Linked DNA regions of Canis lupus familiaris. The protein of the gene in region 1 interacts with the protein of each later gene in a pairwise test. Links are inferred from orthologs where the notes say so. Each region holds a gene or a part of one and is shown in the gene's direction. Other genes may lie near its edges.

Region 1 (3,560 bases):
CAAAAAAGGTATTTTATCCCCCATAGAGAGTATTCCTTAACGGTCAAAAGACCAGTGCTTTGCACAGTATATTGGATTCTATTCTTAGGAAAGGAAAACTGCTTCTTTGCTATTTTCTAGGCTCACAAATTTTTTTGTGCTTTGAATATTAAATGAATTGATCTCAGCTTCTTAAGTTCCTTTTGGGAACTATGATTATGTTTTGGGGATTTATTGTTTGAGAAATTACATTTGTTCATATGGTGGTAATTTTACCTAATTACCATGTGTCATGGAATAAATGGTTTGGATCTAGCCAGTCGCCCATCTTTAAAAATAAAGTTTTGCTGGAACACAACAACCATGCTCATTTGATTACATGTTTTGTCTCTGGTTGCTTTTTTTCACATTATAATGGCAGAATTGTGTAGTTCCAATAGAGGCTGTATGGCCCACGGAGCATAAAATATTTGGCCCTGTACAGGGAAAAAAAAAGTTGCAGACCTCTGGTTTAGATAATTGAACCAGGGTTATTTAACTGGAAGTCTTTTCTTCCCCTTACATTCTTAAATCTGTGCTTTTTTCCTGGTTTAGTATGTATAGCAGTCCTATACTATACATACAGAATCCTTAATTTTTTTTCTGTCTGGAAATTTTGTAGTACCTTAGAATTACATCTTTTTTTTTTTTCTTTTTAGAGAGGTGGGAGAGGGAAAGAGGGAAAGGCAGAGGGAGAGAGAGTTCTTAAACAGGCTCCGTGCCCAGTGGAGAACTCGACACTAGGCTCCATCTCAACTCTGAGATCATGACCTGAGCTGAAGAGTCAGATGCTTATCTTAACAAGTTATGTGTATTTTTCAATCATCCCTAATGAACCTTTCCTCCGTCTCTCCATTTTCTCCTAAGAGTAGTGAATATGAAATGATTTTGGCTATTTAGATTTCCATTAACTGAAATTCTGATTTTTTTTTTTTTTTAAGTAATCTCTGTGCCCAATGCGGGCTCAAACTCACAACGTTGTGATCAAGAGTTGTGTGCTCCACCAACTGAGCCAGCCAGGCACCCCTGAAATTCTGATTTATTTTTCACTTTCCAAAAATACCTTTATAAGGCCTCAGAAGCTAAATTTTCATGCTTAACTGGAATGAAGCTATCTATTTCAAAATAACTTACCAAAATTATTTTATAGGTATTTGTAAAACACTAAGTGTTACAGAATTCAGCTTTGGACTCATGTAATAATTTTAGTGCTATTTAACATTTTTCTCTAAAATGTTACATCAGTTTGCTTGAAAATTTTCTTAGTGTGGTTATGCAATTTTAATTTAGAGATAGTGTTTTTTATACTTTTGTTTCACTTTGTAAAAAACATTTTCCTCCCCACAGAATCAAACTTTTCTCATGGTGCAGTTTTGACAGAAATGCCCAGGACTTCAGGCATTTCAAGTCAAGCAGATTCCTACTATTCCTCGTCTGTGTCCATGTCAAATGCACTGTCACATCATTCTTCACCCATACCTTCAATGGTGTCTCAGGCTTCTTCAAGCTGGTCATCAGGGGCCCACCCCACCTCACGTGCAGTCAATACGAATCCATTGAGTGGTTTTTCAACAGGGACACTCTCCTCTAATCCACAAGGTATCTCACCATATCTGGAAATACCTCTTGAGAGTGATTTGAATGCCTCTAATGCTTGTATTTATAACAATGCGAATGACATAGGCAGAATGGAAGCGCCGTCCATGTCATCAGCTGATTTATATGGTATTTCTGATGGTAACATGCTGCCGAATTGCCCTATGACTATGATAACACCTAGTAATGACAGCATGAGGGAGACTGATAATCCGAGACTTGTGAGCATGAATCTCGAAAACCCCTCATGTAATTCAGTGTTAGACCCAAGAGACTTGAGACAGCTCCATCAGATGTCCTCTCCCAGTATGCCAGCAGGTGCCAGTTCCAGTACTACTGCTTTTGTTCCTCAGCCAGAGGCATTTGAGGGATCTGATTTCAACTGTACAGATAACAGTATGATAAATGAGTCAGGACCATCAAACGGTACTAATCCCAACAGTCACAGTTTTGTTCATAGTCAGTATTCTGGTATTGGCACTATGCAGAATGAGCAATTGAGCGACTCCTTTGCATTTGAATTTTTTCAAGGTAACTTGTAAAACTTAAATGGTAGTTTGGGACCAAGCTGGAAAGTATCATGAAAGGAAAATACTGAAATAGAAATTTAAAAGGACTTTACTGTTTCTTCTTTTTGAAACATGTGACCCGATACTGTGTGTGGTGGGACTTCTGCTTTACAGTCCTACCCCATCTTCTCAGTACAGAATGAAGAGAATATCAAGACACCTCAGTTCTTCCAAATACACTTTTTTTATACTTCTTTTGTATTGTATTAATGTATTCTTAGTTAAATGAATTAACTGATATTTGCTTTTAAGCAAATTTAAGGTAAAACCTATAATGGCTATGCCATTAGAGAAATGATTTTCTTATTATTTTTGAGACTCATAGGCCAAGGTGACCCCTAAGGGGTTTTCTGAGGTTTCTTGGAGTTTCTTAAATTTGCATGTAAGTCAACAATCTTTAAAATTAAAAATCTAACTCGGGTTGAGGCCTGGGTGCCTAGTGGGTTAAGTGACTGCCTTGGGCTCAGGTCATGATCCTGGGACCCTGGGATGGAGTTCCAAGTAGGGCTACCTGCTCTGCAGAGAGTCTGCTTCTCCCTCCCTCTCTCCCAAATGTGCACTGTTTCTCAAATAAGTAAAATCTTTTAAACAAAAAATCTAACTTGAACAGAAGAGAGTTGAAGTGAGCTCAACTCACTCAACTCAAGGTAGGGAAAGTTCTCTACATTTCAGACCAATTAAATCCTTACCTTTAAAATTGCTTGTGATTTTTAGCTTTACACCCATGTCTTTAAGGTGAAGAGGTTTCCTTAGACCTCTCATCTTTCTTGTGTTCCCTCACTCACTGTGATCACATCTAATTTCATGCTCTCTGTTCCTAAATTTTATCCTTACCTTAGACCTATCCTCTGACCTCCAGGCTTGGAGCTTACCCATGTATGCAAAATTGCTTATTTGACATCTCTACTTAGGAACCTAATTAGTGAGCTCTGACTCAACACATCCAAAACTGAGTTCATCATCTTCCCTCCCAATTTGGTTCCCCTTCAGGCTGCCCCAACTTAGTAAATAGCAGTGCTATGCTTATATAGTTGCTCAGGTTCAAAACCATGGAGTCATCCTTGATCTTTTCTTTCTCTCCCAAATCCAATCCATCAGCAAATCTGGTAGGCCATGCCTTCAAAATATATCCAAAGCTCCCCACCTCTTTTGACCTCTACTGCTAACTTCCTGTTCTAAGCCAGTGTCCTATCACCTCTTGCCTGGATTGAAGCTCTAGCCTCCAGAGATGCTGTCACTTCTTGTGCCCTACCGTCTCTTCTCGCCAAAGTAGCCAGAATGATTATTTGTAAAACAAGTCAAATTGTATCATTAACCTGCTCAACAAAATCCTGAAAATTGGCAGGCTCTTACTCCTCCTATTTCATCTCTTACCAT
Region 2 (4,320 bases), on another chromosome or scaffold:
TGCAGGGTGTGCACTGCGGGTGGGCTCGGGAGGGAGCCGTAAGGGCCACAGGCTCATCCTGGCCCCGCCCCGGGCGCGTGCAGAATTCAGGGATGTCCTTCCCCGGCTGGGCCTCGATCTGCCAGCTGTAAAATGGGGAGACGCCAACACAGCCGTGGGGGACCGGGGAGGCGGGCGGGAGGTGGGAGGAGAGGCCCAGAGAGGGCCGCTCCCTCCCGGGCCTGGCCTCGCCCCCTCCCGGCCCCGCCTGGCTGCTCTTGCCCTCGCTGCACACCGACTGGGCAGGCGGCCGGCAGGAGCCCCCTGCCTGGGGGAGTCCGGGCGCCTGCACAGCTTACCGGCTGCTGTCGGGCCTCTGGCTGGCGGCGTGCAGGGCAGGGGCTGGGGGCAGGGGTCTGCGGGCCGGCCTCTTCCCCACCCACCCCACCTTTCCCCTCTTGCTTCGTGCCTCTGCTGGTTCCAGTGGCGTCTCCTCTGTCAGGTTTGTCTCTTCCCCGTCTCTGCTCCCTGGCTGTCTCTCCTCCTCAGCCTGGCCTGAGATCTCGCTCGTCTCACTTGCCCTTTGACTCTGTCTCTCTGCCTCTCCCTTTGTCTTGTGTCCTCTCTCCTTCTCTCGTCTCTGCCTCCGTCTCCAGGCTACCTGGCCATTCCTTCCCTCGCCCCCTGGGGTCTGCCAGCATGCAGCCCTGGAGAGGAAAATCCTGAACTGCCTCTGTTTTCTCCACCTGCCCTGCTATCGTTGGTTCTAATTGCTTCTGGAGCAATGAGGGCTCCCAGAGTGGCTACTTGCCTATCTCGGGCCTGCCCTTGACCACAGAGTGCGGGGTGGGCCACCGACAAGCTCTCCGTGCCTCCTAATGCCTCTGTGTCCCCATCAACTGGGCCTGGCCAGTGGTGCTGGGCCCCTGGGGCATCCCTAAGGTGACATCTTGTAGCCAGGCCTGGGCCAGGGTGTGGGAGACCCAGAATGCCCCTGGGGACCCCTGGACCCGTGCTGTCCAGAATAACGCCACTCCGGGATGGGATGGGATGCCGGGCGAGCAGGATCATGGTGCCCCACTTCTCGGGAAGGCAAAGTCCACCTGCGGAGTCCAACCCACCCACCCTGCACCATCCAGAGCTTCTGGCTCTGCCCATGGACACCCCTGAGCTCCGCACATAGGGCGGGGACACCTGGATTTCTCTGGCCCCCTGAGTGGGGCCAACTTGGAGGAATTTCCCAAAGCCTATTAGAGCAGTGGCTGCCTCCCGCCTGCCTCCTCGGGCTGGGCAGGGCTGAGGGCGGAGGGAGAGAGGGAGGGAGGGGGGAGAGGAGGGAGGGAAAAAAGTTGGCAGGCCGACAGCAGAGCTGTGTCTGCATCCATCGCTGAGAGGAGGCCCGTGAAGTGCGGGGCGGGCCAGGAGCAAGGAGAGGCCTTCCTCCCTTTGTGCTCCCCCCCCTCCTCTCCTCCCCCCGGGCCCTATAAATAGGCCCAGCCCGGGCTGTGGCTCAGCTCTCGGAGGGAGTCGAGCACCAGGCAGCGGTCTCAAGCCAAGCCCCCTGCCAGCATGGCCAGCGAGTTCAAGAAGAAGCTCTTCTGGAGGGCGGTGGTGGCCGAGTTCCTGGCCATGATCCTCTTCGTCTTCATCAGCATCGGTTCTGCCCTGGGCTTCAACTACCCGGTGAGGAACAACCAGACAGCAGGTGCGGCCCAGGATAACGTGAAGGTGTCACTGGCCTTCGGGCTGAGCATTGCCACCCTGGCCCAGAGCGTGGGCCACATTAGTGGCGCCCACCTCAACCCAGCTGTCACGCTGGGGCTGCTGCTCAGTTGCCAGATCAGCATCCTCAGGGCTGTCATGTACATCATCGCCCAGTGCGTGGGGGCCATCGTGGCCACCGCCATCCTCTCGGGCATCACCTCCTCCCTTCCGGACAACTCCCTCGGCCGAAACGAGGTACGTGGGGTGGCCCCAGGTGCTGGGCTCTGGAGCAGAGCACACGCGGCATAGGTCTCATCCTCACCCATTGTGCAGATGGGGACACCGAGGAGCAGAGAGGGCACGAGCTGGCTGGAGGTCATGAGGACTTGGGGCTGGAACTCAGCTACACCTGCAGCCCAGAGCCCGTTTCCTACCAGGCACCGTGGGAAGCCGAGACCCAGAGAATAATAGTCTGGCCAGTGTCCCCTGCAGGCGTCTATCGTGGGGAATCAGCTCTGGAGGCAGCTACCAATTGTGGGGACAGCAGCTCCTCACCCCTCGGCTGTAGCTTCTAGGTCTCCACTCTGCCCGGCCGGGGCAGCCAGCTCCCTCTTCCTACAGCCTGGACCCTGGGGACACGCTGCCCGCTGTCCCCAGCCCCCCGAAGCTGGGTGCCTGGCACATTGGCGCGGGTCAGCAGCTGCATGAGCAGGACCCATGGGTGGCCACACGGACCCTCAGCCCGCCCCATATTCACACAGGTCCCCAAACAAACTGCCTTCAGGGAAAAAGCCCCTCCTGCTCCTTGGTCCCCGAGAGTTAGATGAAGCTGCGGGGCAGCGGGGGTGCGGTGGGGGCAGGTGAAAACATTCTGGCTGGTTTGCAGGTGGTTTTCCTGGATTACAGTAGGGGTGGTGGCCAGGGTGGGGACATCTCGCCTCCCGTCTGGGCTCCACTCTCTGTCGCCGGGCACCGTGAGGTGTGGCACGTGTGTTTGTGTGTGTGAACGGTGTGTGCACGTGGATGCTGGCATGGGTCTCCGGGCTTGTGTAAGCTGTGCGCTCCCGTGGGTCTGCGAGTGTTAGTGCAGCCGTGTGAGTGGGCGGCGGGGGCGGGGGGCGGTGAGTGTGTACCTGTGCATGCCCATTGCCCCTGGCCCCAATGGGGTCTGGGCCGGGGGCACTAATGGTGAGCAGATGTTGGTGAGTGGGTGGCAGGCTGCTGCAAAGAATTCCTCCCGGGCCGCTTAGCACAGCTAATTGGCCGTTGGCGGCAGTTGCCTGCTGTCGCAGACCTGGGCTTTTCCAGACCCTCGGCCAAGTGCAAACTCAGACCCAGCCCGGGGCCACCGCGGCGGGGGGAGGCTTGGCCTGAGAGAGGCTGAGGAAGGCTCGGAGGGTGCCTTCCCGGGACAGGGGAGTGGCGCACGAGCACACGGGAGGAACCAGATCTGCAGAATCGGGGCTCGGGGCCTGGGCAGGGCAGGCGGGGGCAGGGACCGGGAGGGAGCCAGCCCAGGGCCCCAGAGACCGCGGCCCGGGATTACAGCGATTGTTGTCCCGCTTCCCAGCCAAAGTTCAGATCCTGGCGCTGCAGCTGCGGGGAGGCTTGGTAAGGCCTGGTGCAGAGGGCAGCTGGCGAGGCCTTGGCTCGGGCTGGGGGGGATTAGCACTTCTTGTGTCACAGTGACACCTTACCCGGCCCCCTCGCGGAGCCAACCGCTGCTCGGCCCAAGATTGAAGATTAGCCCGCGGGCTGGAGTTTAGACTTTAGTCGAAGAACGTGGTGGCCGAGGTGGGTGGAAGGGACGAGAGCTCCGGCAGGCTCTCCAGAGGGCAGGGCCAGGTGACTCCGGGGAGTGACCCCCGGGTGGGGTCAGGTTCAGCCGTGGCCGGCTCGGTGGGCAGGGCGGGCGGTGGCGAAAAGGTGCCCGTTGGGGAGGGGTTGAATGTCCGCAGGCCCCTGCCCTGTCTTGACCCTCCTTCTCCAGGGACAGGCAGGACAGGCATCTGTGGGCAGACGTCGCGTTCTGACTCGGGCATCACGGGTAGGTGCCGGGAGGGTGGCCGCCTACCGTGGCATCTTCGTCTGGCCGCAGCCTGCTCCAGTGTCCCTTCCCTGCCCCGGCCTCCGTTTTGCAGAGTCGCCCAGATGCCTGGCTGGGCCGTTGGCAGCTGGGGGAGATAAAGGGACAGGCTCCTGCCGGGGACAAGCACGCCGGGCTCACGTCCTGTCTGCTGCTAACCTGTTGCGTTTTCCTGGAGCTGAGGATCCTGAGACTCCAAGAAGGAACCTAGGTCTTTATAGATATTTCCTGGCCCCTCCTAAACCACCAGCAAGCTCACTCTGGGGACTTGTGTTTATCACCCTTCCCAGGAGGGTCTGGCTAAGAGGAGCCCACGGGGGGCCTCGCTGACCATAAGATTCCTGAGTGTTGTGGTGGGGTGCAGGCACTGTCCTGTCTACACCAGGGAGGTTTGGGGTTCCAAAGTCTGGGCCTAGAAACAGAAAGCATCTCTCCCAGGGCTCCTGTCAGACGCTGGACCTGCGATGTGAAGGCATCTGAAGTTCCTGGCAGGTGGCCCTGATGCCTCAAGAGAGGCAGAGACCGGTCTCTGCAGCAAGTGACACACTTTT
Region 3 (4,000 bases), on another chromosome or scaffold:
TGAAAATTCCTGCCCTGCCAACCTGTGTTTTCTCACCTTTCTCAGCGAACCCTGCCTGATTCCCGGATGTCATCCTGACCACCTGTGTCAGCCACCCACCACCCGGGGTCTCCTGAGCCTTCCACCACCCCACCGGGGCTTCCAGTGACTACTGTCCCCTCCCATGCCCTGGCCTTCAGGCTATAGATTCTACCCAGGTGCTACCAGAGGGGCCATCCCAGAATTTCCACCTATGCAGCCCCTCCCTGTTCTGGTGAAGGCATCAATCATAGTAATTATTATGGAACAATAGTCCTCATCCTGGAGACCCGGGATCGTGTCCCACGTCGGGCTCCCCGCATGGAGCCTGCTTCTCCCTCTGCCTGTGTCTCTGCCTCTCTCTCTCTGTGTGTCTCTCATGAATAAATAATAAATAAAATCTTTAAAAAAAAAAAGTCCTAACATTGCACACTTAAGTGGAATGCCAGGCTAACCCATGGCGGATCATCTTATCTAGTCTTCTGACCATCTTGGAGCTGGAACCATTTTGCACATAAAGGCCTCCATCAGCTTGTGAGCACGGATAGGGCGCTCCTAGCCAGTGGTCAAGGCCAGGGCAGGGAGGTTGGGGCCCCTCGGGCAGAAACTCCCGGACACATCTAGAGGGTGGAGTCTGGTTTAGGAAGCCCCAGTTCCTTGGGCAGCCCGGGTGGCTCAGCGGTTTAGCGCCTGCCTTCAACCCAGGACGTGATGATCGAGTCCCACGTCGGGCTCCCTGCATGGAGCCTGCTCCTCCCTTTGCCTGTCTCTGCCTCTCGCTGTGTCTCTCATGAATAAATAAATAAAATCTTAAAAAAAAAAAAAAAAAAGAAAGTTTTAAAAGGAAGCCCCAGGTCCTCCAGCTTGCTGGGGAGGAGAGCCGGGTGTGCTCCCCGAAGCTGCCCGCAGGTCCGCAGGCCCGCCCGCCCTCCCCTCCACTCAGGACCCCGTCCGAGCCCCCGCACGAGGCGGCCTGGAGGTGGCGGCGCCTGCGGCCTCCCCTCGAGTCCGCTCTCCGGGCTCCCTGCCCCGCGTGGGGCGCGCCCGGTCCACCGCCCGCCGGACACCCCGGGGTGGGGGGCGGGACGCGCGGGGCGGCGCTCTCGGCTTGGGGCGGGGCCGACATCTGAGCCCCGCACAAAACCACGCGGCGGCTGCGGGCCTGGCGGGCCGGCGCCCTCCTGGCACCCCCGCGCCCCCCCGCCGGCCCGCGGCACCATGAGCGGCCGAGTCGGGGACCTGAGCCCCCCGCAGCAGGAGGCGCTGGCCACGGTGAGGGGCTTCGGCCGGGAGGCTCGGGAGGGGGGAGCTGCCTGGCGCTGCCCACCTGGGCTGGAGCCCCGGCGTTTGGATGGAAAAGGGGTCCTTGCGAGCCTCCTGTCCCGCGCACCCCCTGCGCCCAGTTGCTGAGGCAGACGTGTATGGGACACTGGCCTTGAACCCTTCCCTGGGCTGCCCTGGGGCCAAATCCCGCTTTCCCCTCCCGCCCTCTGCGCCCTCTGCGGCCCTTGTCCCCGGCCCTTGTCCCCTGGTTTTGGGGGTGGGGTGGTGCTGCCGTCCCCGGCAGCCTTGGGCACACCGCCCCGCAGATCTCCTGCCCGGATTGCAACATCTGTTTGTTTGGTGTCTTTGTGGCTTTCCGACTCCCCAGGGGGGAAGCCATCTCCCCATCGCTGGTGTTTCCATTAAAGAGGAATGGAGGGGTTTGGGGGATTTCAAGGCAGTCCGTCAAGCTGCCGCTGAGAGTGTCACACCCTGGGGAAGGGGGACATATTCAGGTCTTAGGTGCCACAGCATTAATTTGATTAGGAGATGGCAGGGCCTGGAAACTGTGACTTTACGTTAGGGGAGTGGGGTGACGGACCTACCTGGCTTACACTTTGGGCCAAAGAAGGGCAAGTTTCGGACTTGGGGAGACTATGGTTTCTTTTATGGCTCCCACCCTGGGGAGGATCCTCCAGGGAGGAATGAAGACCCCCCATGGAGGAGGACCCTGGATGAATTCCTGGTGAAGGAGAGAAGGGTCCCAGGTGAAGGGGGGGGGGGGGGGCTGGGTGAATTTCCAGGTAAAGGATGAGGTTCCAGGAGCAGAGAGTCTTGAGCTGAAGGAGGGGTCCCCAAGAGAAGCAGGAGGGGGAGTCCCCTGGTTAACCCTCTCCCTCCCCACTGGCAGAGGCCTCAGGGGAGCCCTGACACTAGGCTCTTGGGAGGGGCTGGACACCTGGCCTTTGGGGGTGAATTATGATGGAAATGCTTGTGGGTCAAAGAGCTTTAAACAATGTGAAAAGAGTTTATTCTTATTTTTTCCCATTATTTAATAGAAATGAATGCTAGTTGTTTTAAAAATTAGGGAGAAAAAGGAAAGTAGGAAAAAGAAGTCACCCGTGGTCCCAGAGATCTAGACAACCATGCCTAGGAGCATTTCCTTCTAAGTTTTTTACCTTAGCCTAGTTTTAACCACCTTGGTTGGGCTGCCAGAGGCTGCTTTCTCCATTTGGCCTCATTGTTCTTTTTTGTTTGTTTGTTTTGATTTTTTTTTTTTTTTAAGATTCTATTTATTTATTCCCGAGACACACACAGAGAGGCAGAGACAAAGGCAGAGGGAAGAGCAGGCTCCCTCGGGAGAGCCCAATGAGGGACTCAATCCCAGGACCCTGGGATCACGACCTGAGCCAAAGGCAGATGCTCAACCACCAAGCCGCCCAGGTGCCCCAGTATGGCCTCATTGTTAAGATATTTTTTCCATTAAGTTACTCTGGACCCTTCCCAGCACCTGCTTAGTGGTCTTATCTTTTACTTGACGTGCGTCCCAAGGGTGGGGTGGCTTTGAGACTGGAAGGTGTGGACTCCTCCTGGCCTTGTAGCTTTTTTACTTTGTCCATGGGGAAGACCCTCCAGCACCCCAGCCTCCCTTCCCACATCCACAAAGCAGGGATGTGACCCTTGCTTCTCCTGCCTCAGGGCACATCCCAGAGGTTCACAGGAGGAACTCTGGTAATCTGAAGGGGCTGAGCGTGCAGAATTATTATTTCTTGGTTATTGTGACTCTCCGTCACTCCCCCTAAAAACTTCCTCAACTGATCCTTGTGCCTGCTGGGACTGGGTGGGCGATGATGATAGCTGGTGCTCTCGCTCACCTTAGTTGTTGACACTGGAGATTTTTCGTCTTTTTATTTGTTTTTCATTATGTGATCAATACATGAACACATTCTTTTTTTTTTTTTTTTTTTTTTTTTAAAGAGAGAGGCAGAGACACAGGCAGAGGGAGAAGCAGGCTCCCAGCAGGGAGCCCATCCCAGGACCCCAGCATCGTGACCTGAGCCAAAAGCAGATGCTCAACCACTGAGTCACCTAGGCGACCCCACATTCTTATTTTAAACATCATCCATAAAGCTAAAGGAGGTTTGGTGGATGGCTGTCAAGATAGCATCCTCTGGCTTTGCTAACAATGACTTCTAATCCTAAATTCTCATTCACAGTTTCCCACAAACCCACCCCTCCAGGGTTTGCCTTCTGCTCCCTTAGTCCCCATTGAAGTGGGGGACAGTTCTCTCCCAGAACTGAGCCCCAGACCCATACCTAAACTTTCAACAGCTTTCCCAAACTCTGCCAGTGGGCAGAGCCTGCGTCAGCAGGTCAGCCCCTCTCTTTCCCCAGTCTTGACGGGCCTGATGCGGCATCCCTGGCTTCTCTTGCAGTTCCTCCCTGCTGACCTTTGCCTGGGGTTGTTTCCACAAAGACTCCCCTGTCTGGAGCTCCGAGCAGTCCACATTTGCTGAGTGCCCACATTTTTCTGGCACCTGCTGCAAGCTAAGACTGATGCTAAGTGCTTTACCTGTACACACTCCTTTGACTGGCACAAATTTATCTTTATCCCCACTACACAGATGAGGAAACTGAAGCTCAGAGTGGTTCAGTAACTTGCTTTCAAATCTAGACTCATAAGATCCAGTATCAAGGGCAAGGTTCCTAAATTGTTCTG
Region 4 (4,264 bases), on another chromosome or scaffold:
ACGGTTTCTTAACTTTTCTTCGGGGGGGGCGGGCGGGGAAGGGGGTCAGGAGGTGGGATGGTATCACTTCTTTAAAATGTGATAAAAATCTCCCCCCCCCCAGAAAAATGTACTTATCCCTATCCTAAATATTGTGCATTCAACTGAAGCTGCTCCATGGACCTATCCGAGTTACAAACCCCTGTCCTACACTTTCCCCAAGAGTGCCTCCCCATGGACCATAGTCCAAGGAAGGACCCGGTGCATCACTAGATTTTAGACTAGCTGCATACCTGGGAGACTCTGGGCCACGCCGTGAAGCAGTCCATGGGGAATTTCGGATGCTGACCCTCATAGTACAGTTGGCCATCATCTTTCTTGAACAAAACAGCCAGTGCTCCTTCAGTGATGCTGATATCCTCAAGTCTGACCTAACCATCTGGGAGCCTTGGGGGTGGGGGTGGAAGAAGAACATTTCTAGGGTCCACTCTGGGTGCCTTTGCTCAGGCTTTTCTCCTCGTGCCTATATTCCAGTGCCACTGGTCAGAACCATGCTTTCACGTCGATTTTTAGAACAATGCAGGGAAAGATGAGAGAAAAAGAGAGGGGAAAAAATAAAGTTCCATTCATTCTTCAAGCAAATGTCATCTCCTCCAAAGATGTTTTTCTAGATTCCTGGAACTCTTTTGGGTGGAGGTGAAGGGTCTAGCGTGGAAGAGGAGCTCAAGGTATAATTTATTCATTCATCCCACAGCACGAATCACTCCACGCTGTAACTAACTCTCCCCGTCCCCGCCCGTCACAAAATTTCATTCTTTGACGACAGCGATTCTGCTTTAATTAAATTGGTATCCTCAGGGCTCTGTTCTTTGCCTTGAAGGTGGGCATCTACCTGTGAGTGCTGGAGAACTACGCGGGACGGCGACCAGGGGTTTAGGGAGATCGCAGTGGGGTAATGGCCGGTGCCCTCCCCCCCGCCCCCTCCCCCCGCCCGCGCGCACCCCCAGGCTGCTCCTACAGTCCGGCAGCCGAGCCAGGGCGAGTACCCTAACGGGTGCTGCCCTAACGTTCTGGACTCCAGGGCAGTGAGCGCATCTATTTAAAGTGTTGGTTTAGTTGCTGGCTTTCGCCTAGTCGGTGGGACCGGGTTGACTCCCCAGAGCTTAGCACAGAGTAGATGCTAGATAAATCTGTGATGAGCGGATGCATAGAGGGGTGGCTGCACCGGCGGGTGCGTAGATGCGCGGGGGTCTCTGCCTCCCCCTCCGTCCCCCCCCACCCCCGTGAACGACGGTCGGCCCGGCCAGGCCCGGGAGCCGCGGCGCCGGGGTCCCTTCCCCGGGCCCCGCCCCAGCCGACCCCACCTTTCCGCGCCGCCCCGCTCCGCCCCGCCGCCCCCTTCCCCGTGGCCCCTCCCCGCGCAGGTCCCGACTCCCGCCGCACCTCCTCCGGCTCTGCAGTGGCGGCGGGGAGGCGAGCCGGAGCGCCAGCGGGGCCGGGGCCGGGGCCGGAGCCGGAGCCGCAGCCGAGCCGGGGTCGGGGCAGCAGCCGGGACCCTCAGAGGCGGGGCCAGTGGGACTGCGATGGGCGTGGAGATCGAGACCATCTCCCCGGGAGACGGTACCGGGCGGCGGAGCCGGGGGAGGAGGAAGGGTCCCGGGGCGGAGCCGGGCGGGCGGGGGTCTGGGTCGGAGGTGGCGCGGAGGGTGAGGACGCGGGGGCGGGCGCAGGGTGGGGCGGCGGGGGAGACCCCAGACTGCACTGTCGGAGCTCTGGCCGACGACCCTCCGCCCCCCTCCCCGCGCCGGCTCACCTAGGGCGTCGGAGGCGGCGGCCGCAGGCGGGGGTCTGGGCCCGCCACCGCCCCGGGGGCCTCGGGCGCCGCCGCCGCCGCGGGAGCCCCTCAGTTGTCTGCCGCTGCTAATTTCCCAGGGCAGGGGTTTGGCTCTGCTCTCCCTGCCCTGCTAGGTGAGCTCCGGGGACCGCTGGAAGGGTTCCCTTCTTGGGGCAACCCGTTTCCAACGCGCCCCCCTGAGGGCCTCGGCTCCCGCGGCCCCCGTGGGCTGGGCGGGGAGACGTTGTGGGGGGACCGAGCCCGTCTGCGAGGAAGAAGCGCTCCCTCCGCCGCCTCTGCATCCTGCTTTATCCTCCCCGCCCCACTCCGCCTCTCCAGCCATCCTGTACACTCCCATGGCTTTCATTACCGTCTGCAAACCGATGGCCTCCAAACTTAAGCCTCCAGCCCAGATCTCCGACCCATTTATCCAGCTGCTGCTCGACCTCTACCTGGATGTCCCATGGAAACCTAATTCAGCGAGTCCAAAACAACTCGAGCTCCTTGTCCTCCCCACGCCCAAGCACTCCTCTGTATTTCCCTTTTCCCTGCCCCCCCCCCCCCCCCCCCCCCCCCCCCGTCAGGAGCGGCACCACTCACTTTCCCCAGCCAGACATCTCTTGTATAATTGGGTCTGGATGTGCAAGGAATAGCTTATTTTAAAAAATTTTAAATGACACTTAATCCAGTCCAGAGCCCCCGTTTCTGCAGAATTTGACAGACAAACTTCATGTGAGACATGTCTGACAACCCCCACCCTCTCTAGGAAATTGGAAGACCTCTTGGTTCTAGGCCACCCTCCTTGTTAAAAGGCAGTGGTCCCTAGAGGTCCCAGTCCCGATCCCTGTCACCCTGCAGGTACAGGCTTCTTTGCCCCCACTGAGAACAATAGTGCTGGGTCCCAGGAAGCATCTCTCTGAGACCTTGTCACACCCCAGGGAAATTGCCATTGAGATCTCCCAGGGAGCTGGAGGCCTCTTCTCTTTTCCCCTGACTCAAAGTAGCCTTTAGAGTTTTCTCTGCTTATCCTCCCTTTCTGGCCAAGGACAAGGGCCATTTTCTTTTGAGGGAGATTAGATTTTTCGAGAAAGCCTGAAAAAACTTTGGCCTTCTGCTTTAACAGTCTAAACCCTTGAGTCAAGAAGGCATAGAAGGGCCAAGCTACTGTATTGTTAGGCTGGGGGCACCATTCTAAGTGAAGCCCCGCAGCAAGTCTGGTAGGACTTGGTCCTTCTGCTGAAATTCTCTAGGCTACATCCGTTTAGCCCCTGCCCTGGTTCAGATGATGGTCTCTCATCAGGCTTTCTGCACATCCTCTACATTGGTCTCCACACATCCAGTCTGACCTCTCTGCCTTCCATCTGGCCTCCCTAACTCACTACCTATTTTCCACACCATAGCCTGAGGAGTCTTTAAAATGCCTATTTTAGGTTCCCATTCCCTTCTGCTCCCCTCTTACCTTATCCCCGTGCCTTGTGCTTTAATGAATCTTCCATTTTCTTCTCAGACAGATAGTAATCTAGCCTGGTCTTACCTTCCACACTAGGGCAGTCTCTTACTACAGCCCCTACCCCCACTACCACCTTTTTCTGTAGCTTCAGCAAGCTTCCTGCAAAGTTGTTAAAACACATCAATCATTCCGCAAATATTTATTGAACATGTACTATGTGCTAGGCCCTGGGGTTAACAGCAGTGAGCCAGACAGGGATCCCACTAGTGCTAGACTCCAGGCCTTTGAATGTGTCATCAGTTCTTCCCAGATTATCTCCTTTAACTTCCTCTGGCAAACTAGTCATCTCTTAAGATCTGGTTTAACCTTATCTCCTCTCTGATGCTTTCCTGGACTCCCACAGAGTCCTCTACATGTTGGCTCACTTGTTTGCCTCCCAAAGATTTGTTATCCAGGCCTGTGGCTTTAAATTCCACCCAGATTTATACCTCCAGTGCAGACCCTCCATCTGCCTACTTGCAATATAAACTCAGATGTCTAATAGGCATTTCAAGACTGCCAACTGCTCAAATCTGCTCCTCCCCAGTCTTCCCCACCTGGAATTAGTTCGTTCCACCATACGTCCAATTGCCCAAACTGAAAACCCAAGCATTGTACTTGATTTCTCCTTGTCCCTCCTCCTGGACCCCATCTCCGTTCCATTAGTGTACTCTGTCAGCCCCGTTTCCCAAACGTATCTATTTTGCTCTCTTCTCTGCTGCCACCACGTTAATTCAAGCCATAATTGATTTCCTGTCTGGATTATTGCAACAGGCGCCTAATCGTCCATCCTACAGGCAGCAGCCAGAGTGATCTTATAAAATCTTAATTCAGATTATGTCATCCTTTTGCTTAAAACTCTCCAGTGCCTTCCTATTGCGCTTGGAGTTAAATCTAGCTCCACGATGTCCAATGTCTGGCATGATCTGCATGATCCTGCTCTTTCCTACTTGTCTCCTTCT
Region 5 (3,560 bases), on another chromosome or scaffold:
TGAGGGCAGTAATAGGATCTCCCTTGCAAGGTTGTTGAGCAAGTCTGATGGAGGAAAGGAAGGGGAGCCTAGTGTCCAACCTGGCCTGTGTGTGGTTCTGGAAGGTCCAGTAGCTTGTGGGTGAGGCTGTCCAATAGGCATGAGGTAAGAGGAACCCAGCCCACATATGTTGCTGTTGGCCTGAGGGCTTTCCCTGCCCCTCTGTGAGGAGAGTAGAGAATGAGAGAGAGAGGCCCAGAGAGGGCAAGGGTAGCCCCAGGGTCACTCAGCTGGTCCATCACTGGCTGGGATGGGCCATAAAGGCCATGGCTGAGAGGAAAGGCATGGAGGGACAGATGATAAGGCAGCAGAGGGAGCTCAGGTGACTCCTGCCCCTGCCCCGGGCTTCAGTTTCCCTAGCTACACAGTAAGGTTCCTGGAATGCCCAGTGTCTTGGCGTTTTGAGGTAGCTATGCTCCCCAGGGCTCAAGACCACCCCTCATCTGGGGTTCCTCAAATGGCTTCCCCATCATGAGCAGTGCTGATTCTCTTATTCAGATAGTTTACTTTGGTAGAAACAGAGGTTTTGAGAAGATGAGAGCCACAGGCAGGGTCGCGTGGTACTACCCCTCCTCTCCTTTCCCCTTCCCAGCCCTGGAGAGCTGACTCCTGAGTACCTGTGCTCACTCTGTCTGGCAGGATGCTGGAGGGTAGGGAGGGAGGGGGTCAGATGGGAGGTCCCGACCCTCACATTCCTCTGGCCTCACAGATTGCTGCCCAGGAGCTGTCCGATAACCAGGTCATCACCCTGAGTCTGGCGGGCAGGAAGCTGGACAAGAAGGTAAGGCAGTCGAGAAGGGGGTTCTCCATCAGGGAGCAGTATCCCTCCCCCAGCCCAGGCTCGTGGGGCCTAGTCCTGCTGCTTCTGGCCATTACCTTCATCACGCCCCATCCAGGAAGCAGTCCATAGCTCAGGCCATGCCAAATTAGGACCTCTTTACCACTGAAGTAGTGAGTTTACCATTATTTAGAGGTGTTTAAGACGTAACTGGAAACCCCCTCCTGGGGACTCCTTATTTCACTCAGTGTCAATGCTAGAATCATTATAGTAACCTACAGGGCCCCACTGGGTGTGTCCACAGTGCCCCCTCACCTCACTCCCACTACTCTTCCCACCATCATTCTGCCTCAGCCAAATCAGCCTCTTTGTTGTCGCAGGATTGCACCAAGCATCCTCCTGCCTCGGGACCTTTGCACTTGCTGTTCCCTCTGCCTGGGATGTTTTTTTCCCTGAATATTACCTGATACTTGTTTTAAAATGGATTTTTAAAGGATATCATATCCCTTCTGTGACATGCTCAGATAGTTTCAGTTTCTCAGATTCCCACGAAATAAATTAAAATCACATCCTGCTGCAGGAACTATCACCTTTTGAAGTCCTGCCCCATCTAAGTTATAATGCCTGCAGGCTCCAGGTCTCAAGGTCTCTGAGCACAGGCTTTGGTAACCCCAGGATGAGGTGGTTTCTCCTGGGGGAGCTGGTTGGCCCCAGGGGGCTGGCTTTGCTCGCAGCTCCCACTCCTGAGGCTGGATTGGGGAAGGCAGCTGGGTCCCCCCCCCCACCTCTCATCTGAATACGGCAGAGTTGTACCTTCCTCACACACATCCTCTTGCTTCCTCCAGGACCTCTTTGGAAAGTCAGACCCATTTCTGGAGTTCTATAAACCAGGAGACGATGGCAAGTGGATGCTGGTTCACAGGACTGAGGTGGGTGCACAGGGCGCTGGGAGTCTCTAAGTCCGTGGGTCTGTAGTCTGGCTACCCCCATGTGTCAGGACGGGCTGTAAGGTCACAGCCACGCAGTGAACAGGCAAAGCCATTATGGTGCCTCAAGGCGCCATCCCTCCCTGCCACGGGGATGCTCCCTTCCCTCCCAGAGGTGTGGCCGTGGGCCTCTGTACCTGCCACCCGCAAACCTGCAGGACTGGCCCAACCCCAGAGCACTGCTGCCCTGGACCTGCCCTCACCCGTGGCTCTCGCTGTGCTGCAGGTGATCAAGTACACGCTGGACCCTGTGTGGAAACCGTTCACTGTGCCATTGGTGTCCCTGTGTGATGGGGACATGGAAAAGCCCATCCAGGTGAGGGGGCTCGGGGGCCCTGCACCCCACCCTGCCAGCTCCAGCCTCCTTGCTTACCCGCGGCTTTCTGGGGACGCCTTGGCAAAGCTCTTCCTTATTAAGATGGAAAAAGCAAACCTATGTAAGGGGAGAGGTGGGGACCTGGGCTCTCGTCTCACATGTCTGACCCCCTGAGCCATCTGGGCAGCTGTCTCCGTGAGCCCTTCTCTGAAACAGGAACAGAATGACTACCCGGTTCTTCCCAGAGGGCTGGGGTGCTGCCACCGAGGAGAGCGAGTATGCAAGCACCTTGGAAGCAACCAAGTGTCACTGTGATGAGGACATTGGTTACTGGTCTCTACAAACCCTCAGTCCTCCGGGACCGTGTCTGATGCAGATAGGGGAGAGGAGATCAGTGAGGCCGGGGCAGAGATCCCTGAATGGGGTAGTAGGAAACCCGAATTCCAGTTCTGGTCTCCTACTGCTGCTGTGAGACTTTGGGCAAGTGCTTCCCTCTTGAGCCTTAGTTTACCCATCAGTGGAATGGGTATGGTTAATTCTTGCCTTCTTCCAAGAAGTGGCAGCTCAGTTAGAGGGCATGGAAAGCTGGGATTTTTTTGTGCCTATCTCAAGGAAGGTAACAATGTAGGGAAATGAAAGGCATGTCCAGAGTTGCCCTGTGGAACATCCCTAGGGAAGGCCCCTGGCCATGGCCCACGAAGGCAAGTGGGCCACAGCCCCAAACAGATGAGGAGCTGAGTGACAGGTGTGTGGGGAGTCAAGCTTCCTGCTCCAGAGTGTACAGCCTCCATTGCTGGGGTGTCCCTTTTCCCAGCAATCAGGGAAGGCTTCCTGCAGGAGGCAGTTCAGGAGCTAACAGCATCATCCCAGCAAGGCAGATGCTGGGGATCAGGGGGAGGCACCAGCAAAAGGAAGATGTGGGATTTGCTCAGGCAACTGTGAGGGTCTGAGAGCACCTCCTTGGGAGCTACCCTGAGGTGACCTCACTGGACCCACCCCAGGTCATGTGTTACGACTATGACAATGACGGGGGCCATGACTTCATCGGCGAGTTCCAGACTTCGGTGTCGCAGATGTGTGAGGCTCGTGATGGCGTCCCGGTGAGATGGGCCCCGTGCGTGTGACCCTGAAAGCTCAGCAGGGGACGAGTGGGGGACACAGGCTTAGGATTGGGCAGACTGGGGCCCAGATCCCACCTCTCTGGCTCTGTGGCCCTAATTAAGCAAGACTTCCGATTCCTCTGAGCCTATTTCCCCATCTGCCCAGTGGGGCAGAGGAAGAGAGTGGGAGTCACATGAGATGATACTGGGGAAGGGCCTAGCACATGGTGAGCGCTCAAGAGCTGTCCATTTAACTCAGCTCAAGAAGCCGGGCCCTGGGTGATGGTTCCGGGTATAGGAGTGGACATGATGTAGACGAGTCATCGTCTGGGGTGGGGGGC
Region 6 (4,074 bases), on another chromosome or scaffold:
GTGTTTTGTAGTTGCTATGTGGCATCCCTTAACCTTTCTTAGCCTGCTGCCCATCTGTAAAATGGGCATCATCTATCTTGGGCTTTAGAAGAGTAAAATGAGGGTGGATGTGGTTCAACTGCTCTCCAAGTGATGGGTTTTAGATGTTTACTACAGGAAACATACTCTAGGGACCCAGATCAGCATCAGCATGGCACGAGAGCTTGTTAAATGCAGATCTCAGGCTCCCACCCCAACTGAATAGGGGAAATTTAATCAGCATATTAGGAAGGTCCCAGATAGGAACACCTGGCCTGCTCTGTCCGTGGAGCATGCAACTCTGGGTAGTGAATTCAAGCTGCACCTTGGGCACAGGGAGGACTTATATTTTTTATAAAAAGATCCCGGATGAGGGATCCCTGGGTGGCGCAGTGGTTTAGCGCCTGCCTTTGGCCCAGGGCGCGATCCTGGAGATCCGGGATCGAATCCCACGTCGGGCTTCCGGTGCATGGAGCCTGCTTCTCCCTCTGCCTGTGTCTCTCTGCCTCTCTCTCTCTCACTGTGTGCCTATCATAAATAAATAAAAAAAAAAAAATTAAAAAAAAAAAAAAAAAAAAAAAAAGATCCCGGATGAAACATTAAAATTTAAGCAGTTTTAGACCAAAAGCAACTGAAATGAGAATAATCCAGGATGTGAGACTCCAAAGTGGACACACGGCACTGCCTAGTCACTGCCCTCACTTTACCTGTAAGACCAATAATCGGGCAAAGGTGGTGTTCAGACCACTTTGTGGAGCAAGGCAGGGGTCAGGTATGTAGGTTCATCGTTTTTATAGAGGGGTATGAGCGCTCCACACCCTAAAAGCTCACCTCCAAGTTCTCCTACCTTCCAAGGTGTTCCTTGCTGGTGTCTCCAACGTGCGCGCGCTACCGAAGCCCTGGGCAGCCCCAGTGCCTAGAACTAGAGTGGGCGCCGCATAGCACTTGCGCGCGAGGATGTATTAACGGGATGGAGGCGAGCGTCACGCCTCCGCTCGCGGCTCCTAGCAGCGCCTCGCACCGCTGCCGCTGGCCCCGCCCCCCGCACCAGGCCCGCTGGTCCCGCCCCCGCAGTTCCGGGCGGGTGGTGACCACGTGCTTGTCGCCGATAGCAACCGGCGCTGCTCCCGCCCTTGGCTAAGGCGGGCGAGCGACAGCCAGCTGCACCAATGGGCCCTTGGAGGCCGTCTGAGCGACAGCCACGGTGACCAACCGCCGTGAGAAGGTGCGGGTCTGGGGTGGGACTCTGCGTGCGGATGTCGCTCGAGACGTGCGGGAGCAGAGGGCACGAGCCGGGGAAGGGCCCGAGAGGCAGGTGCGGACCTGGGAGAGCGCGGCGGGCTGCAGCGGGGCGGGGAGACGGGGCTCCGGCCAGAAGGGGTGCGGGCGCCTGAGGGAGGGGCGCCTGCGCTCCAGTCCCGGGCGGAGGGGGCGAGACGCTTAAAGGGACAGGTGCCCCGAAGAGAAGAGGTCTTTAAAGGTGCAGGTGGCCGCGCTCAGCTGTGGGTGCTCGGAGAACAGGACATTTTAAGGACACTGTAGCCGAGCTTAGAAGGCATGCGAAGAGGCCGGGGCTGGGGTTTGAGAACGCAATTCTTAGAGGCAGGGATAAAAGTCTTGTCAGGGGCCTGGCGAGGTCTTTCTCTGAGGAAGAGCGTGCCCTCATGCCCTCCCCGTGTCCCTTCTGGCTCCTCCAGGTTCCCTTGACCCCAGACCCCCCTGTTTTCAGGCTATGGCCCCCAGTGCCCTGTAGACCTGGCGCGACTCCCCTGCTTCCGACCCCTATTTGGGGCCCTGGGTGGCTACTGGAGGGCCGTGCAGAGGGGCAGAGAAGGCAGGACCATGGCATCTAGGGCCTTTGCACCTCCCCCAGGGCGCAGCGTGACGGCGGGCATCATCATTGTTGGAGATGAGATCCTCAAGGTGTGTCTGGGACGGAGAGGGGGGGTGGGCGCCGCCCGTCCTCTAGAGCCTGCTGCACCTTGCTGAGGGAGGCCGACCGGGGGCGCCCCCTTGCCCACCACGTCCCTGTAGTGGGTCCAACATGTTCTTCCAGTTACTCTGTTGAAAACTTGCAGCAAAGTTGCTACAATTTGCCAAGCATTTTCATAGCGGTAGGAGGGCTTTACAGGAACCAGCGGGAGTCCATCCCGTGAAGGAGGTGCAGTGCATGAGTAAGCAAAACAGGAGAGGACTAGATGGAGGAAATCCCTCGGAACAATGAGGGAAGTCTTAGGAGAGGTCATGGCATCAGGCTTGTAATAACTAATATTGACCCGTTTTTTGAGTGCTTACTGGGGCCTGGCAGTGTGCTTATTATATCAATACGCGGTCTTAACTAATCCTTAGAGCATTCCCATGAGATTTGATACTTTTATTATAAATCTCAGTTATTAGATGATGAGGCTGAGAAGTTTGCCCAAGATTACAGAGCTCAGGAGTGGTAGAGCTGGGATTCCAAGCCCATTCTCTCTTCCTCCAGAGCAACCCTTACCTACGAAGCCCCCTGTAAAGAAGCAGAAGGAGATGGGGCCAGGGAAGAGCGTCAGATCTACACCCGTAGACAGGCAGCCTCAAATATTCTTCAGAGGAATTTGAACTTTAATCAGAATATGGTTGGAAACAACACATGGCTTTTGAGCCCAAGAGTGGTGCAATCACAGTAGCACATTAGAAAGGTTAGTCAGGAGGCCTGGGTCAGAGCACTGTGGCTGGCGGCTGGGAGCCTGGCCAGGGACTGTCACCACTGTCCAGATAAAAGGTGCCAAAGACCTGCGTGGTGGTAGTAAGGACAGAGAGCAGAAGTGGGGAGACATTTCAGTAGCGTTGACAACAGAAGTGCCCAACTGGCTATGGACAGTGTCTGGGGATGCCACTAACCAAAGTGACAACAGCCAGGAATATGGTAGAAATGCCTAGTAAGTGCGGGGAGCCAGGGGATTGAAACTGGCAGGACTGGTGAGGTAGTGGATGAGTCATCCACAATAGAATTGACCGTGGAATCCATAAGCATATCTGAGGTCAAGGTTCAAATGCAAAGAAGGCCCAGGGTGGATCATGCTACCCCTGACTGTTCAGCTGGATTTTCTCACTCCTGTGCCCAGTCCAGGCTTTTTTTTTTTTTTTTAATTTTTATTTATTTATGATAGTCACACAGAGAGAGAGGGAGAGGCAGAGACACAGGCAGAGGGAGAAGCAGGCTCCATGCACCGGGAGCCTGATGTGGGATTCGATCCCGGGTCTCCAGGATCGCGCCCTGGGCCAAAGACAGGCACTAAACCACTGCACCACCCAGGGATCCCCCAGTCCAGGCTTTTTGGCAGCCCAAGACAGTACCCCCCAAAGAGCACAGTGCCCCAGCATTGGGAAAATGCAGCTGTCACCCTTTCCCCTTTGCCCTTCATCCCCACCGCATTGATATTCACTGTCACTATCTCATCTCTCAGGGACACACTCAGGACACCAACACCTACTTTTTGTGCCGGACACTGCGCTCCCTGGGGGTCCAGGTGTGCCGCGTCTCTGTTGTCCCTGATGAGGTCACCACGATTGCAGCCGAGATCACTTCTTTCTCCAGCCGCTTCACCCACGTCCTCACAGCAGGGGGCATCGGCCCCACTCATGACGATGTAACCTTTGAGGCTGTAGCACAGGCCTTCGGGGATGAGCTTAAGCCACACCCGGAGCTGGAAGCAGCCATCAAAGCCCTAGGAGGGAAGGGCTGGGAGAAGCTGTCTCTGGTGCCCTCCTCTGCCCGCCTGCATTACGGCACAGATCCTCAAACGGGCCAGCCCTTCAAATTCCCGCTGGTCTCCGTCCGAAACGTCTACCTCTTCCCAGGCATTCCCGAGCTGCTAAGGAGGGTGCTGGAGGGGCTGAAGGGGCTGTTCCAAAACACAGCTGTGCAGTTCCACCTGCGGGAGCTCTATGTGGCCGCTGATGAGGCCTCTATCGCCCCCATCCTGGCTGAGGCCCAGGCCCACTTTGGGCGCAAGCTTGGCCTGGGTTCCTACCCTGACTGGGGCAGCAACTACTATCAGGTGAAGCTGACGCTGG
Region 7 (3,560 bases), on another chromosome or scaffold:
CAGAGTGGCGAATTCTCCTTCCTGAAAGATCTGAAAGGCCGTCAGCCCCTCAGGTCCGGACCCACCGTGGTTTCAAATCGAAACACGAATATTTATAACAGGTTAGTGGGTGGGGAGACAGCCTTTTGCCTGTTGGTGAAATCAGAGCGCAGTTGGAAAGTCCTGGAGGGCCCAAGGCAGAGTTCTGGGTTTAGGCCCGCTGCTGGCTCATCGTGGCCAAGGGCTAGTTGTCTTCCATCCTGGACCTAAGGCCTGAACCTTCAGACCTTGCTTTTTTGGCCTCCCCTGAGCTTCTGAAGTCTCATGTGCAGTGGCTTTGCCAAAAGCCACTGCTATGGAGTGCAGACTGCTTGGCTTGGCCTCCTGGTCTCTCAGAGGGGGGATCTTATTTCCATGCTGGCCTCCTGGGAAGGACATTTCACCGTTCTCTTTGATCTGCTTACTCTCCACGACCCCACTTCTGTAAATGCTGTGAGCCAGCAACTTGGCAGTTTTGTTTCTCCTTCCTCCTTGCTCTGTGTCCCTGGAATAAATGTCCCTTAGCTTTCTTGGGAGCAGGTGGTTGGTTACCCATCATGGTAAAATGTTGATAGCCTATTTTCTTGGGAAGCCTGGGTGGTCAGCGGGTGGGTTGTAGAACAGGCACATTATTGGGTTTCCTCCTCAGTGATGTGGTGATCGTGGAGAGCGGCAAGGTCGAGGGTGTTCCTGAGAGGAAGAAGTTTGGCAGGATGAAGCTCCTACAGTTTTCTGAGAATCATCGACCAGCGTACTGGGGAACGTGGAATAAGAAGACAACCGTCATCCATCCGAGGGACCCCTGGGCCCAAGACAGGGTGAGCAAGTGGTCCAGCCTCACCTGCCTTTCTACATTTCCTTCTCATTTTGCCTTTTTTGCACTGGTCTCCTGGATTTCATAAGCATTGTAGCTTTTCTGCTCTGCCACCCCTGAAAGACAACCATGACGCCCTGCGTCCTTGTTTTCTCAGAAGCTCCTGGACTATGAGGTGGACAGTGACGAGGAGTGGGAAGAGGAGGAGCCGGGCGAGTCCCTGTCCCACAGTGAGGGGGTAAGCACACACCTGCACCTGTGGTTTCCCCCAGAAGGCCAAGGCAGGCCCTAGGTTGAGTTCACTCACAGCCAGCCTTCGAGCCGCAGTGTCATCTGAAATTTCAGCCAGATCTCAGGGCTACCTGGGAGGCTCAGTTGGTTGAGGGTCCAACTCTTGATTTTGGCTCAAGGTTGTGAGATGGAGTCCCATGGCAGACTCTGCACTGAGTTCAGAGTCTGCTTGAGATTCTCCCTCTGCCCCTCCCTCTCCTCTCCCACTCTTTCTCTCAAATAAATAAATAAATATTTTTTTTGAAAAAATAAGTTAAGAAAAACTAGGTTTTCAACTTCTCTTGAAAAGCCTATTTGGTGACACTAACCCACTTGGCAGTGGGACCAAGCAGCATCTACCCTGTTAAGTGGGGCATGCTTGCCTGTGTTCCCATGACCCGACTCCCATGTCAGTGTCAAATAATGGGATTCATCTATGGGATTTCTCCCAACCCTTGAGGTGTCCATAAGAATGATGCCCAAGGCAGTAGATGGCTTTTCATTCCTTAGATGTTTGCAGGTTAACCTTTTTTTTCTTTTGCAGGTTAACTTTTTTTTTTTTTTTTTTTTTTAAGATTTTATTTATTCACGAGACAGAGAGGCAGAGACATAGGCAGAGGGAGAAGCAGGACCCATGCAGGGAGCCCGTTGTAGGACTCGATCCTGGGCCTGAGCCAAAGGCGGCGCTAAACCGCTGAGCCATCCAGGGATTCCCCACAGGTTAACATTTTAAATGAGACATATTTTGTCTGTTGGCTATGTATTATGAACTTTTTTTTTTTTTTTTGAGGATGATGATGATGAAGTAGGAGAGGATGAAGATGAGGATGATGGTTTTTTCGTGCCCCATGGGTACCTGTCTGAGGACGAGGGAGTAACTGAGGTGAGGCATGAGCTTGGAGGTGACTGTCCCTGAGAGAGCTCGGCCGGACTGAGCTTAGTGGCTGCTAGCCTGTTTGCGACCCCAACAAGTAGTCATCTATGGGGTTGTAGGGACCTGGGCTTAAGTTTTACTGGGGAGGGTAGTGGGATCTGCAGAGGTAGGAGAGACTCCCGGGGTGGTGACCGCGTGAGCAGAAGGCTGAGTCAGAGAGGCTGGGAGGTGTGTGGGTCAGACTGCTAAACCCCCTTTTCCTTTTATGGTTTCTTAGTTGAGGCATGATGAAAGTATAAGAAAACATACAGATCTTAATTATTGAGCACAGCAAGTTTTAATGATTGACATTTGTAAATCTGTCACCAAAAGTAAAATCTAGAACTTCCCATCTCTCCAGATGGTTCCCCCATGTCCCTTTGAGGCATCCCCCTACCCTTGCCACCAACATTCTAGACAGACTCAGCCAGATGGTGAAACTTTCAATAGGCTGGTTTTAGGGTTCGGACAGCTTTTCAGGTCGCAGTGCTTGGGTGGTGGAGAAATGTTGGAAGTATGACTGGGGGAATGGTTTTGTCTCTCCAAATCAGATGCAGGGGGAGGGATACCTCATATGTGTGTCTGTGGAGCCCATGAGTCTTCTGTCTTTGAGAGCGGTATTGGAGCGTGGGAGGGGCCTAGCCCTGAGGGTGAACTGGGCGTGGGATTTGGGGTTGCTGATTGCATGACCCTGGCATCACACCCTCCCCAGAAAATCCAGAGTGGCCTTGAGTGGCTTACTGGTGAGGTTAAGGGAGTACCTGAGACTGCCAGTCATGGCCAGAGAGGACGGTGCATCCTGAACAAACAGCACAGGGCATAAGTGCCTGTCTCCATGGAGTCTAGGAAAACACTGCTGTTTCCCAGATGGTAATGCTAGGAAGAGGGGTGCAGAATACAATGGGAGCTCTGATACGTGCAGGGTGCAGCAGCCCTGATGGTGGATGAGCAAGCTCTTTCCTCTTGGTGTCTGGGAGGCGGGAGGCGAGAGCACAGGGGCCTGGGCACCCTGAGTAAGCATTGCTCTCCAACCTGCAAGGAGTGTGCTGACCCAGAGAACCACAAGGTTCGCCAGAAACTGAAGGCCAAAGAGTGGGACGAGTTTTTGGCTAAGGGGAAGAGGTTCCGTGTGCTGCAGCCTGTGAAGATCGGCTGCATCTGGGCGGCTAATAAGGATGGTGGTGCCGACCTGAAGGTGCTGCAGCAGTTCACGGCGTGCCTTCTGGAGACAGTCCCCTCCGAGGAGGAGCAGACACCCAAGGCCTCCAAACACGAGAAGAGAGACCAGCAGAGTGAGTGTCCGTGCTTGGTGGGAATGGGAGGGGACCAGGCTTCTAGCTGTCCTAGGCCCAGGGAGACTTTATTAGGTGACTGGATCAAAACTTAGAAGTCCTGGGATCCCTGGGTGGCGCAGCGGTTTGGCGCCTGCCTTTGGCCCAGGGCGCGATCCTGAAGACCCAGGATCGAATCCCACGTCGGGCTCCCGGTGCATGGAGCCTGCTTCTCCCTCTGCCTGTGTCTGCCTCTCTCTCTCTCTGTGTGTGA

Evidence for each region.
Region 2: the proteins of REL (region 1) and AQP1 interact in binary tests that used the Homo sapiens proteins (3 or more experiments, as listed by UniProt). The link is inferred for Canis lupus familiaris from reciprocal best matches to the Homo sapiens genes REL and AQP1.
Region 3: the proteins of REL (region 1) and SEC14-like protein 4 interact in binary tests that used the Homo sapiens proteins (3 or more experiments, as listed by UniProt). The two-hybrid records come from large-scale screens. The link is inferred for Canis lupus familiaris from reciprocal best matches to the Homo sapiens genes REL and SEC14L4.
Region 4: the proteins of REL (region 1) and FKBP1B interact in binary tests that used the Homo sapiens proteins (3 or more experiments, as listed by UniProt). The two-hybrid records come from large-scale screens. The link is inferred for Canis lupus familiaris from reciprocal best matches to the Homo sapiens genes REL and FKBP1B.
Region 5: the proteins of REL (region 1) and CPNE2 interact in binary tests that used the Homo sapiens proteins (3 or more experiments, as listed by UniProt). The two-hybrid records come from large-scale screens. The link is inferred for Canis lupus familiaris from reciprocal best matches to the Homo sapiens genes REL and CPNE2.
Region 6: the proteins of REL (region 1) and FLAD1 interact in binary tests that used the Homo sapiens proteins (3 or more experiments, as listed by UniProt). The two-hybrid records come from large-scale screens. The link is inferred for Canis lupus familiaris from reciprocal best matches to the Homo sapiens genes REL and FLAD1.
Region 7: the proteins of REL (region 1) and CHAF1A interact in binary tests that used the Homo sapiens proteins (3 or more experiments, as listed by UniProt). The two-hybrid records come from large-scale screens. The link is inferred for Canis lupus familiaris from reciprocal best matches to the Homo sapiens genes REL and CHAF1A.

Annotation. Positions count from the first base shown.
Region 1 is NC_049231.1:62,308,496-62,312,055, forward strand, and holds part of REL (proto-oncogene c-Rel), read left to right. Parts: coding exon 1-8; intron 9-1,365; coding exon 1,366-2,156; 3' UTR 2,157-3,560. UniProt on the Homo sapiens protein: Proto-oncogene that may play a role in differentiation and lymphopoiesis.
Region 2 is NC_049235.1:43,684,791-43,689,110, forward strand, and holds the start of AQP1 (aquaporin-1), read left to right. Parts: upstream 1-1,517; 5' UTR 1,518-1,548; coding exon 1,549-1,938; intron 1,939-3,311; exon of another isoform or gene 3,312-3,730; intron 3,731-3,824; exon of another isoform or gene 3,825-4,320. UniProt on the Homo sapiens protein: Forms a water channel that facilitates the transport of water across cell membranes, playing a crucial role in water homeostasis in various tissues.
Region 3 is NC_049247.1:24,017,914-24,021,913, reverse strand, and holds the start of SEC14-like protein 4, read left to right. Parts: upstream 1-1,175; 5' UTR 1,176-1,236; coding exon 1,237-1,290; intron 1,291-4,000. UniProt on the Homo sapiens protein: Probable hydrophobic ligand-binding protein; may play a role in the transport of hydrophobic ligands like tocopherol, squalene and phospholipids.
Region 4 is NC_049238.1:18,594,519-18,598,782, forward strand, and holds the start of FKBP1B (peptidyl-prolyl cis-trans isomerase FKBP1B), read left to right. Parts: upstream 1-1,436; 5' UTR 1,437-1,562; coding exon 1,563-1,599; intron 1,600-4,264. Other genes in the region: WDCP (WD repeat and coiled-coil-containing protein), read right to left, coding at 273-454. UniProt on the Homo sapiens protein: Has the potential to contribute to the immunosuppressive and toxic effects of FK506 and rapamycin. PPIases accelerate the folding of proteins. It catalyzes the cis-trans isomerization of proline imidic peptide bonds in oligopeptides.
Region 5 is NC_049223.1:58,519,227-58,522,786, reverse strand, and holds part of CPNE2 (copine-2), read left to right. Parts: intron 1-748; coding exon 749-820; intron 821-1,662; coding exon 1,663-1,746; intron 1,747-2,029; coding exon 2,030-2,119; intron 2,120-3,120; coding exon 3,121-3,219; intron 3,220-3,560.
Region 6 is NC_049228.1:42,478,508-42,482,581, reverse strand, and holds the start of FLAD1 (FAD synthase), read left to right. Parts: upstream 1-1,241; 5' UTR 1,242-1,333; intron 1,334-1,715; 5' UTR 1,716-1,860; coding exon 1,861-1,941; intron 1,942-3,464; coding exon 3,465-4,074. UniProt on the Homo sapiens protein: Catalyzes the adenylation of flavin mononucleotide (FMN) to form flavin adenine dinucleotide (FAD) coenzyme.
Region 7 is NC_049241.1:55,654,903-55,658,462, reverse strand, and holds part of CHAF1A (chromatin assembly factor 1 subunit A), read left to right. Parts: coding exon 1-101; intron 102-667; coding exon 668-836; intron 837-989; coding exon 990-1,070; intron 1,071-1,892; coding exon 1,893-1,985; intron 1,986-3,054; coding exon 3,055-3,307; intron 3,308-3,560. UniProt on the Homo sapiens protein: Acts as a component of the histone chaperone complex chromatin assembly factor 1 (CAF-1), which assembles histone octamers onto DNA during replication and repair.